2 linked regions of the Rattus norvegicus genome follow. The protein of the gene in region 1 interacts with the protein of each later gene in a biochemical or structural test. Links are inferred from orthologs where the notes say so. Each region holds a gene or a part of one and is shown on either strand. Other genes may lie near its edges.

Region 1 (6,812 bases):
GACTAAGATCACAGGATGATAAAATATTCCTCTGAGTTTTCTGTGTTGGAGGTACTGTTTGTGAATATAATTGGGTTCATTAAACCTAACCAGGCAGTTTATTAATCAGTGGGCTGGATTGGCAGACAATGTGATAGAAACTATTTATGTATGGCATGTTCAATATTTTATAGTCATATAAAAATGCTTCTACGTTGGCATGTAATCAGACAAACTTGAAGCTAACAACAAGAATCGTGAACTGCTTTTCTGAAATCAACTTTTCGCACACAACAATATACAGCTCATTCATCCATCAAAGGATTTCACCTTTGGAATACGGACAGTGATGAGCCTCGAGGAAGCCACTGAGGTAATTTGCATTTAAAGTTTACTTACTCACAAGTGAGTTAGCAGAAGCCCATTGTGCGACACCTTCAACAAACTGGCTTAAAAACTAACTGGTCAGTATCTGACTTTTATTCATAGTTTGAATTTGAGTTTAAGTGTGTCCAACTATGTGGGATCTTTTTGATGTGAAAATTATGTCAGAAAGAGTAATACAAGTATCACTTCCCTTTAACTTGACAAAAGAGAAACACTGAGAAGGGAGTGTTCATATTCTATTCATAACGGGGGAAGGGGAGCATTCTGGGGAAGTTGGAAATGTAAATATATTTTATGTTAGTTCCAGTTGGCCTTTACAACTAGATATACTGATCCACACAAAAAATACATAGTTTTATAAACAAATTACTAGAGATCATTTCACATTTAAAACTAATGCTTTTCCTTTATAAAGGAGAACACACACACACATACACACCACACACACACAATATATATATATATATATATATATATATATATATATATATATATATATCTCAGAACTCTTCAGCAATTGCATGTAGAGTTACATTTGGGGAGAGGCAATACACATTCAATTACATGCACGAAGTAAAATAGTTACAGAACATTATAAGTTCTTTTTTCACTTTTACAGTCCATTATGAAGGCAATATTAGGCTTAGAAAATATTTAACAAAACTACAAATTGCCTTTTCCAAATAATATTTTTTGAATTTCATTTTTCCTCTCTATGATGAACTACCGAACGGGAGGAAGAATTGATGACTTCTACTGTATTGTAAAAGGTGTGAAGCAGCTGGTAATGCTGTAATTTGACTGTGCATGACTTATTAAAAACAATGCAAACATTAATGACATCTATAATGCTTTGGTTTTACAACTGCTCAAACACACACACACACACACACACACACAGAGAGAGAGAGAGTTAAATAACACCTTTCTACAAGATTAGGACAATTTCATTACAGAAACAACCTCATGCACTTGCTATAACTGCCATTCAGTCAGGTACTATCATTATCAACACACAATACGGTATAGAAGCCTCATGCAGAATACATGGAGTTTTCCTCACGCCCAGCAGCTGCTCTCTGGAAGCACACACAGGCACACAGTGGTGTCAACTAGTCTACAAGAATCATGGTTAAAACTGAAACACTAGACTCAATGAGAGGAATGGAAAGGAATGGGAAAAGCACTCCTCCTTCATCTAGGGCATGTTTCTAATAGAAATTTCACATTACTATAACACAAGGTCTCCAAGAGTGTGCTCAAAGCGCTCCTGTAAAGTTCCCTGAATGTGAATAAAGGTGAAACTACATCAGTGTTGGCAAAAGAATCGCAGCGTTCCCTTAAGCCTAGCAGTGTAGCCTCTGGCCGTGCTTTTCCCACGCTCACTTGTTATTAGTAAAATTACAGTCTTTCTAAATTTCAACAACCAATTCCAAACATAGCCATCTTCATTCAAGCCTTGGACCTTGCAACCCACAGACCAGTACGGATACTGTTCAACATTAACAATGGATTCTGCTTGGCACGGAGAATCACTAAAGGAAGAGGTATCCGGTTGATGAAACCGGCTATTCCATACACAAGGATTCTTGTCTCTATTGGTCACACTTTCCATATATCCGATCCCTCAAATCATGCACTGGTCTACGTTGGCAATCCAAAAAGAGTCAGATCAAACAGTCTTCCACTGGATTTTAGTAGTGTGGCTGGGGAGCCTTCTAATTACAGTGAGACATGCTCACTAGCAAACACATCAACTGAACTACCATTAGTGGAAGTGTGCAAAATGAGGTAACTTGTGGGCAGGGGCAACACCTCCCCATTTTCATGGAAGTCAATGCTGAAAATTCTCAGCGTCTTACATATCAGTCACACAGTTCCTAAAAGTGAACGGTCCGTCATGCTTCTCAGGCCTGATTTTTGCTCATTACATATCTCTCTTCTAAGCCAACATATTTGTTAGAGAACATTAGGCATGCATATGTATTAAAGCCTTGCAGAGCCGAAGCACAGCAGATCAGTTCAAATGAGGGAAATACAAACCCCTTGCAAGCACTGCCTCCCCCTCTATTATCTTCTTCTTCCACACCCTCCATTACCCCGGTGTTTACAGAGAAAACGCAACTTTGGGTATTTGAGAAATAAGTGGCTCGTTGTGGAAAATATAGAGATGCACACCCCCTAAGCCCCTAAGTCTGTTTTCCCACCACCACCACCCTCCCTCAAATCGAGGAGGTTGCACCTCTTTCCTAGAGACTTTACTCTGAACAGAGTGGCTCAACATGCTGAGTATCAATCGATGAAAACACATTACACACCAGAAGAAGAGGAAGGTCGGGTGGGGGGAGAGCGAAACACAGCTTTGCTTTCAGCCATTAATTACGAATCACCCAAATATCGCTAAGCGTATCTCCCATGCACAAGCACCCTTGCCAAACCTGGCTGTCAGGCAACGCTTTCCAGAGCTTGCTATCTATTGTCAGGACAGAGAAGCCCCCGGAAGCCTGTGAATCCCTCTGAAAATGCTTCCTCGGAAACGCTAAATATAGACCAAAGGGGTCTGGGTCTGGCGAGCAGCGGGAGACTGAAGAAACGGCCATGGACGTATATGACTAAGTCTTTCCATTTTGTTCTAGCCAAACATCGTAATGACATTGAACATAAGGGCAAAAGACTGGAAGGAAGTCTTCCCCGCCCCCACCCCGTCTTCTCCCGTATATTAGGGACGTCATGAATGCAACCGGGTTGCTCTGGAGGGTGGCGGGGAGCAGTCGGTGTTGCCCTATATACGTGTCCTCCTAGGTAGAGGGGTGGCAGGGAGGGGAGCACGCGGGGAAGCCACTTGGTAACCGCTCCAAGAAAGACACTGACCCCGGACCCCGTTGCGGGTAGAGCGGTCTTTGGAGAGGGGACCCGGCAGGATCGTGGTCCTCCCCCGGGGCAGACAGCACCCCACAACCTCCGTCGCCACCCCTGGCCCGGCTGGCAGCGGAGGACCAACCCCCACCGGCGGTGAGCAAGAGGACGACGCCCGGAGGATGCGCCCGGCTCAAGCAGCTCAGCTAAAGCAACTCACCGAACGGCGCGGCGCCCGACTGCTTCCTGGCGAACATGCACCCGCCGCCAAAGACAGCTCCTCAGTCCGGGGAAAGGCGTGCGCGCCGCCGCCCGGCTTCAGAGCAAGGTCCTGACCTTGCCCAGCTGCAGCATCCTCCGCTTTTGTTGTCGGAGCGCGGCCGCGGGACAAGTGATGCTGGCGGGGAGCAGGGGCGAGCGCGGCAGGCGAGAGGCGGCTCCCGACGCGAGTGCGCAGCGCCCGGCTCGGCCGCTCCTCCGAGCGCGGCGAGCGTAGCGCCCCCTGCCCGACTTGGCGGGCGCCGCGGGATGCTCGGGGTTCCGCGGGGCTCCCCGATCTCGGGCCGGGCTACCGAGCTGCCGCGCCCGCCGCTCCGCTCGGCCGATTGCCGCCGCGGGCGCGAGCCTGGGCCGCCCTGGCGCCCGGCGCCGAGCGCTCTCGAGCTGCGCCCTGCGCGCCGCCCGCGCCACCTGTGTCGCCGCCGCCGCCGCCGCCGCCGCCGCCGCCGCCGAGAGCGAGGCTCCTCCCGCCGCGCGCCGCAGCTCAGCCTCCGGCTCAGCCGCGGCGGCCGGCTCCGGCGCCTGGCTAGTGAGCGAGCGTCCGCCCCGCCACCGAAACCTGCCCCGGGTGCGGAGCATGCCCAGTGCCGCCGAGAGAGCGCGGCGCCTCGCCACGCGAATTCCACTTCTGGTTTTCGCGGCGGCAGCAACAGCAGCAGAGATGGGAGGAGGCGGCGGCGCAGGTTGGGAGAGGGCTGAGCATTCCCGGGAGCAGACAGCACCCGAGCTAGAGCGGAGATGGAGAGTTGATTCTGCGTGGCAGATATCAGTCTGCAAAAGGGCAGTGACTGAGGGGTTCTAGAGTAGCCTGTGAGTTAATGAGAGCACTGGGCCAGCCATGCAAGCTAGTGGATGGGGGTGGATGTTCTTGTAGGTTCTAGGGTTCCAAAGCAAAAAACGTATGTCGTCTGTGAGAGGTTCTTTCACAGTGTTGAGCCCCATCTCCACCACCTCCAGTGTTCAGATTATGCTTTTCACAGACACCCTTCCCCTATTCAAACTCAGTCTGGTTTTAAAATCTGGACTATGAATAAACTTCCTACAACGAAGACCCTCGCCGGATCTGGAGCTTTAATGATTTCTCCTCCTCTGCCTGTCACTTCTTACGCAGTTGTCCTCTTGGACACCTCCAACTTTTTCCCTCTTCAGTTCCATTGTCTGGTGCTAAACCGGTGCTAAAATGGAAACTTTCCTCCTCCACCTACCCCCTGGTGAAGTCTGTGAAGCTTTCTCCATTTCCAACTGAGATTTCCAACTGTCTCTCAGACAGTCATTAGGCAACAGAGTGCTAAATCTAACAAGTAAAGTCACACCATGGAAAGTCTTGTTGGAAAATGAAAGGCATCCCAAGTGCCAAGGCAAGCAGGCCCTCGGGACCTTCAGCTATGTCCCTGTGTTGCTGCAAAGTCTGTCAGTCACATTCGGGACAAATACTTCTCATAATTATTCCACCACGAATCTCCCTTGACCCCAAAGATCCTCACTCTAAAGCTGTCCTCTCCTCTCTGCTCCTTCCTGGAGCCATTTTCTGAGACACAGATAAACAGGACAGGAACCACGAACTTGTCCTAAGAGCGGTTTGCAGCTTCAGCAATCTCAGGAACGTTTCTATTCAGTTTGCGGTAGATTATCCAACGGACTCAAAATATTTGTGTTAAGTCTGAGATATCCTCTATTATTCTCTGGGGGTCAGTGAAAAGGTTGAGAAATGTAAAGAAACGTTAAAGAGACTAAATATGTAAAGTAACACACAGGAGATTGAACAATGACTGTCCTCAACAGTGAAGTGTGCGTCGCATTCCACCTGCCCTCTGTAGATTTGGTCTCACTCGGAAACAGTTGTTCTCCGGTGTAGCTACTACTTCAAACCTAGCCTGATTCCTGCGACAGAAAATGTGGACATTTTCAGGTGTTTTATACGTCAGCTCAAGTTGAATCTGTAACTTGGGGCTTATAAAAAGCATGCGTGCACACACATGAATATGCACGCGCACACACACTGTGCGTGTGTGTGTGCGTGTGCGTGTGTGTGTGTGTTATGTAATAAACGATGTGCTTAGCCTCTGTGTGTGTTGCTGTTTCTAGTTGTTTGATTTGTATGTGGTAGCATGTGTGAAAGATATGTGTATGTATATGTGACTGTTTGTGCTGATGTCTGGAGACCAGGGGACAACTTAATGCTCTTTTCTGTCCCTCTTACCTTTGTTTTTTAAGACACTGTCTCCACTGAACCTGTGAAACTAATGTTGGAGGCCAACAAGTCCCCCAAATCCTCGAGTCTCCAGGTCCCCTCAATACTGGAATTACAGGTGTGCACATAGCTTCATCAGTCATTCTGTGGGGATCCTGAGATCTGAACTCAGGTTCTCAAATTTTCAGAATAAACACTCTTACTGACCCATCCTCTGGGTCCCTGATTTTCTCTTCATGAATTTTAACTCAGTCAGTCAGTGGGAACAGGGAACAGGTTAAGACAAAAATCAGATACCATAGTAGGTATCCTTAGAGCATATGCCTATTTTTAAATCCAAAAGGATCCAGTGAGAAAAAAAATGGTTTTCAGAAATTGTTTGCTTTATTTTATGAGAAATTGCAAAATTCCCATTGATTTATTGATCACTATGGCAACACCCATGATCAGTCCCTGAAGAACTTCTTGTGGTGGGTGCGGGGTACTAAAGAAGCAGATGTGGACGACAAGGATTTCGCTTATTCTTGACGCTTTTCATTGAAACGTTTATGATATCTATCCTTCCAGAATTATTTGTAACTGGAGATATTATTAAGTTCACAATTAGATAATGTAAAAGCTGGGGTGAAATGCTCCCGTGTGGTGCTGAGTCTTCGGACGACTCGCTGCTGCCATCTTTTGCTTGCTGCTTCTGACAGTTCCAGCGAGGAGCAGAATCCTGAATTCACACATCCACTCTGAGTCCAGAAAGTTGTTATTCTGGTAGTTTCGAATTATACCAATCAATGCTAAACGAAAAATCGGTATTGTCACTCTTCTGTCTGCACACCATTAGAGCAATGAGTTAAAGGAATCACATCTAAAGGCAACACATTTCTCTTGATTTTTTTTCAAAAGCAACTTAAAATATGAACCAAACATATTCTTAAATGGAAGTTTGACTTAAGTTTTGAGAGTAAAATTTAATAATGAACACATTTTATAAAGTCATATAGTATCTTAGAGTTCAAAATGTGTTATTTAAAAAATCTTTTTATTAGTAAAATGCAATCAAGATCATGAAATTCAAGTAGAAAATAGTGACTTGACATTTTAAAAAATGTATTACCTGTTGATTTTT
Region 2 (5,408 bases), about 20 Mb from region 1:
AGGCAACAGCAGCTCAAGCACCTCAGCCGTCTTTCCCCTAGACCCAGCTGTTAACCAGAGCGGCGAAACCATAGCATTGTGCATGCGTGATTTGAAAACGAGGTTTCCACCCAAGACCCCAGGACCCAGCACTGGGTGGCACCACCTGAGGAGAGGGTGGTGAACACTGTGCAGTCCTTTTCCTTGAGAATGACTCACCCTGTTTTTCCATTTTCCTTGTTTGGTAAAGGAAGCTGGCGAGGCTTTGGAATTTAAGAAAATGATGGTCAGTGCAAAGGGAGGAAAAGCCAGCTTGTGAGGAGGAAGGGCTTCGAAGAAGTTCACGGCAGCCAAGCCGGAGGAGTTTTACAAGCAGCTTGAGTCAAAATGATCAGTGGGACCCTAGTTTTAGCAAGAGGAAGAGTTTGCAAAACAGGAAAAACCAAAATAGCAAGAAGTTGAACCACCGCAGATCTCTGTCAGGGAAGAGAGCTGGACTGTAGTCCAGCTTCTTTAGGTCTGGAGGGGAAAGGAGAAAAGCTAACAAGAAAATTTCCCCGAGAGGATGCTCCTCAGTCTGGACCACAGAATGCCTATGTTTGCAAGTCGAAGGATTGAACTCTCAAATTCCTTTCCGGTGGGGGGGGTGGTGGTGGTGGTGGTGGTGGTGGGGGTGCATGTATGTGTGTGGAAACAGAAACACGCTGACAACTTTGCCTGTTTTTGTGTTGATCAGCCTTGAATTCGACCATGTACTCAAGTTTGAAAACTAGATGCAAGGTGCTTTCGGGCTAGAACTTCCTCCCAGGAAGGGAAGCTCACAGCGATTTATTGCAACTCGTCAGAACTGTCGCTCTGGAACGGCCTTATGACTTACACTCTGAAACAGAAAACCATCAGAACTTCCTAGTTCGTATCATACATTACGTTCATTAAAAAATAGCACTTTTTCTTTTTCACTGTTGGGTGATTCCTGAGCTCTGCCTAACAATTAGGTCATAAATTCATTTTCTTTACGTCTCATTTTCCTTTTCAAGGTAACATACGTAGCTCTGCCTTCCACTGCATGTACCTAAAAGCACTGTCATTTACTTACAAAATTATATAAATCTACATACATAAATCATTTTCGCTGGGGCATTTGTGTTATCCTCTGGTCCCTACTCACCAGGACTGATGCTGGGAGAGGTGGCAGGAGGGAGGTGAGGGTGCAGCTAGGCGTTCCAGATGAAGAGCACGTCCACTCTTGATCCGAGGCACTGAATGAAATGATGCCCTCCCAGCCCTGACGGTCCAGGTAGGTGGTTTCCAGAGTTCGGGCTTCATTGTAAAAGTACAATCATGGAATTTGTCTAAGCTGTTTGTTGATTCAAGAACCCATCGTTTAGAGAAGTCGTTCTGGTAAAGTAGTAAATCTAGGGAAGGAGATCCCTGTGAAAAATTCACGAATCCCTGTGCTTTCTGATCACTAGCTGCACGGGCCCTTCTGGAACAGACTTCATGATGTTCCAGGCATCGAAGTGCACCAGCCCGACCAAGGGCTTCCCATTAATGGCTAGGATCTCATCACCCGCTTCTATTGTTCCAGCTCGTTCGGCCGCACCGCCTGTCAGAACAAACGCAGAACCCACTGTTAACACCTGCATCTTTAAAAAGGCAGCTAAAAGTTTAAATGGTAAATATTCCTCAATGATGTTTCTATAGTCTTAGGCTAGGGGACTATTTTCCTTTTCTCTCTTTTAAACAGACATTCTCTCTCTATTTTGTATTATTTAACTTAGAGCAGTCCCTCCAATATAAACAAGTCCCAAGCCCACAATTCACAAAGGGAAGACAATGTATTTATAATAAAGAACCACAAATTCCTTTTTTGCCACCGGACCACTGCCGTCGTGAGTCACAAGCACGTTCCAGGGAAGGGCTTGTCTCAGGGTTCTCTGCTAGCACTAGCACACCCTCACCTGGCTGGAGTTGATGTCCGACTATGAAGGTACAGATGTATGAACTGGCCAAGAAAGGTCTGACCTCTCCACAAACTGGTATGCTCCACAGGGGCTTTGTTTTTCCTAACAGTGTCTACCATTTGGTTGAAAAAGTCGTTCATAAGCATCTTGAGACACACAAAGGATACAGATTCTAAATTCTGCCTGATTCGCCTGGAGTGGTGTTTACCAGCCAGTATGTTATAAAACTTAGCGGTGGGTCCTCCCACTCCAGTCTGAATCATTTGCAGCCTCTGTGACGGTGGTGTAAAGTCTGTGTACTCAAACAGTAAAATCACTTTAAATTAAAAACACAGCCTCATTAGCAAATACAGAGTTGGTCAAAGGAAACCAGGAAGGAACGAACACCAACAAACATCCAACAAGCTCATAGAAACGATATCATCCAAAATGTCAGCTGTCTGGCTTTGAGTATCACAGGTTACCTGCTCATCAGGTCGTGGGGACTGTGGTGACAACGTTACCAACGTACAGAGCTTCCCACATTCCTGTGTTACAGCTTTGTAGAAGCTAAAACACATTTACGAGCTCTTAGCAATCAAGCCCTCCTCTCTCTCCTCCCTGCTACTGTATACAGACCTAAAGCGCATTGGGGAAGAAAATGTTACCGCAGAAAAGATGCATTGAAATAGAAACTTCTGGGGCTGGAGAGGGGAAGGTAACTTTCTTAGAAATCGCAGATCTCAAAAAGCCGAGCAGATGCATGTTTCTGAAGCCCATTTTAGGTATTTAGGGCTGACAAGATGGCTCAGTGGGTAAAGGTGAAAGACTGATTCCTGAAGTTTGTCCTCTGACCATCATGGCCAGACACAAGATAATAAAAACGCTAAGAAGGTGCTGGAGAGATGGCTCAGCAGTTAGGAGTGCTGTTGCTTTTTGAGAGGACCCGGGTTCAGACCCAGCTTCACTTCCCAGCACCCATATCTGGTGGCTTATGACCACCAATAACTCTGGTATTGGGGGGTTCCAACATCTGGCCCTCTGGGCAACTGCCCTTGCATGGTGTATACCGTACACATTTTTTTTTGAATCACAAAAAGTGCTATTTATGTACCTGTGATTGCGGTTGATTACAAAAGAAGGTAAGAGCCTGAGAGAGATGAATGCCCACCCGTTGGGCTTTTGGGCTGGCAAGGCTCTCTGGGCTCCCATTCTGTACCCTGCACTGCTCTGCCTGAAGCCGGGACTCTGGGTAGCCTGCCTTTAGCTTCTAATGGGCTCTCAGGGGACTTTGCCTTCTTCTTCTGCGAGCTGATACTTGTGTGAGTACGCTTACATGAATCGCTTCATGCTTCCCTTATGCCATTCTCTGTTCTCTCTTAGTGAGTATGGGGGTTCTCCTCTCCTAGTACTGCTTTGACTATGTATTGCACACAGCATGCCTGACTCCAGATTTGTGCCTGTTTTCTGCTAGCATGTGGGGCCATAAACAGAGACAGCCTGTCTTGGATGCTAGTGTAAGCTACCACACAAGCTGTCTTGCTTCTAGTTCCTGTCAGGGGAGGGTCCAGTCCTTCCCATCACTGGATACCTACCTTTGGCAGTCCCACAGAGTCAGGAGGTGCTCAGCCCCTACACTTGGGTGGGCCTGTAAGCTTCAGTTCTGATTGAACATTTCTGAGCCAACACTACCATGGGCTTTGTTTCTCCTTTCTACAGAGATTTGATTTTGTTTTGTTTTTAGACATGGTCTTCCTGTGTAGCTCTTCCTGTCCTAGATCTCCCTATATGAAGCCCAGGCTGGTCTCAGACTTGCCACAATCCTGCCCCTGTCTCCTGAGTGCTGGGACTGCAGGCGTAAGCCACTCTGCCCAGGTGGAAAGGTTTTATAATTGCCTAAGACTCAAGAAATTTATTGTTCACATGTATTTGGCAGAGACGGAAGACAGATCTAGAATGATGAGATGTGACAGGTTCAGGGAAGGGCCAAGGATGGCCTTGGTTTGGGAAGGTGAATCTTTCAGAGATGGTCTTGTGATAAAGGCTCTACCCACTGGGAAATCCTAGAGCACACCAGTTCGGCCTAGGCTGGCATCTGCTGCTTATTCTTGGTCCCGTGGCTGCTTGGGGTGCATAAGTTGACAGTTTTGGCCTCTCTTCCCTAATTTATTTTTATTTTTTTAAAGCACAGCTCATATTAACATTGTGTCTGGAATGGAGAGATGTTTCAGAGTAGCCATGTAATTACAGAAAGAGACCACAAGTTCAGAAACTTGATCAAAGCAAATCAGTGAGGCAAAAGCAATTAGATCTCTATGAGTTCCAAGCCAGGCTACATGGTGAGACCCTGTCTGACAACACACACACACACACACACACACACACACACACACACACACACACACACACACATACACACATACACAATCTTAAGCTAAGAACAACCAGTTTCATGTCTACATCCTCTAACCATAAATGAGTTTTGGGGGCTGGAGAGATGGCTCAGCAGTTAAAACACTGGCTGTTCTTCCAGAGAACCCTGGGCTCAATGTTTAGCACCCACATGTCAGCTTAGAACTGTCTGTGACTCAGCTCCAGAGGATCTGACATTCTTATACATCTGACCTATTTGTGAGTTTCAGGTCTGTTTGTGTTTTATGTGCTGACATCAGCCATATAATTACACAATTCCTGACTGCTTAGGCATCTGAACACTGTAAGGGCTCCCTCATGGTACAGGGATGGCTCAGTTGATCACAAGTGTGAGGACCAGAGTTCGGATCTCCAGAACCCACACGTGTGAATACCCTGTAAGCCAAGCACTCTGAAGTGAGTGATCCCAACTGGCAATCTAGACATTCTGCCACAGAAAGAAAGTGGAGAGCGATCGAGAAAGATACTTGATAGCAACATTGGTCTTTCACATGTGCACACATGTGAACATGCATACACATATGCATACCATACACACTTGTAAAAAAAAAAAGTCCTCTAGCCCAGTTTCCCAAGATCATAAAATGCGAATTCCAAGTTCATGGAGAAACCATTCAACATCGTTTCCCTCCCTTTTCTTGCAGTCAAGTATTTAAAATCACCGGATTCTGGGTTGACAGTAAGTGCTCCTGCTGGTATAGCTGACCATACTGCTGTCCTTGGTACCCACCTGGGCCTTGGGAGTTTTAATACATGCAAAACACGCCTGGAGATTATGCAGCCACAAAAAGCACTTTAGCTCTCCATAAACTAACCATATTTAGTTCTCATACAGGAGGGATGGCTTTTTCATGGAGATAAACTTTACCTTTGTACACCCTTTTAATCACCAGTGGCCCCTCTCCGGATACAGACGATTTTCCTCCATCCAGACTCAATCCCAGCCCAGCAGAGGTTTTCAGCACTTCAACACACAGCGCATCGTGAGCAGCTCCATTTCTCCCTGCGGCAAAGGTGTTTGTCAAGATAAAAATGGCTGACTGTGCAACGTGC

The links. The genes of interacting proteins can lie anywhere in the genome.
Region 2: the proteins of Ctnnd2 (region 1) and Pdzd2 form a complex in vitro, tested with the Homo sapiens proteins (2 studies listed by BioGRID and IntAct, with this or other methods). The link is inferred for Rattus norvegicus from reciprocal best matches to the Homo sapiens genes CTNND2 and PDZD2.

The regions. Positions count from the first base shown.
Region 1 is NC_086020.1:82,876,737-82,883,548, reverse strand, and holds the start of Ctnnd2 (catenin delta-2), read right to left. Parts: upstream 4,081-6,812; 5' UTR 3,480-4,080; coding exon 3,443-3,479; intron 1-3,442. UniProt on the Homo sapiens protein: Has a critical role in neuronal development, particularly in the formation and/or maintenance of dendritic spines and synapses. Involved in the regulation of Wnt signaling.
Region 2 is NC_086020.1:63,112,640-63,118,047, forward strand, and holds part of Pdzd2 (PDZ domain-containing protein 2), read right to left. Parts: intron 5,359-5,408; coding exon 5,224-5,358; intron 1,586-5,223; coding exon 1,422-1,585; 3' UTR 1-1,421.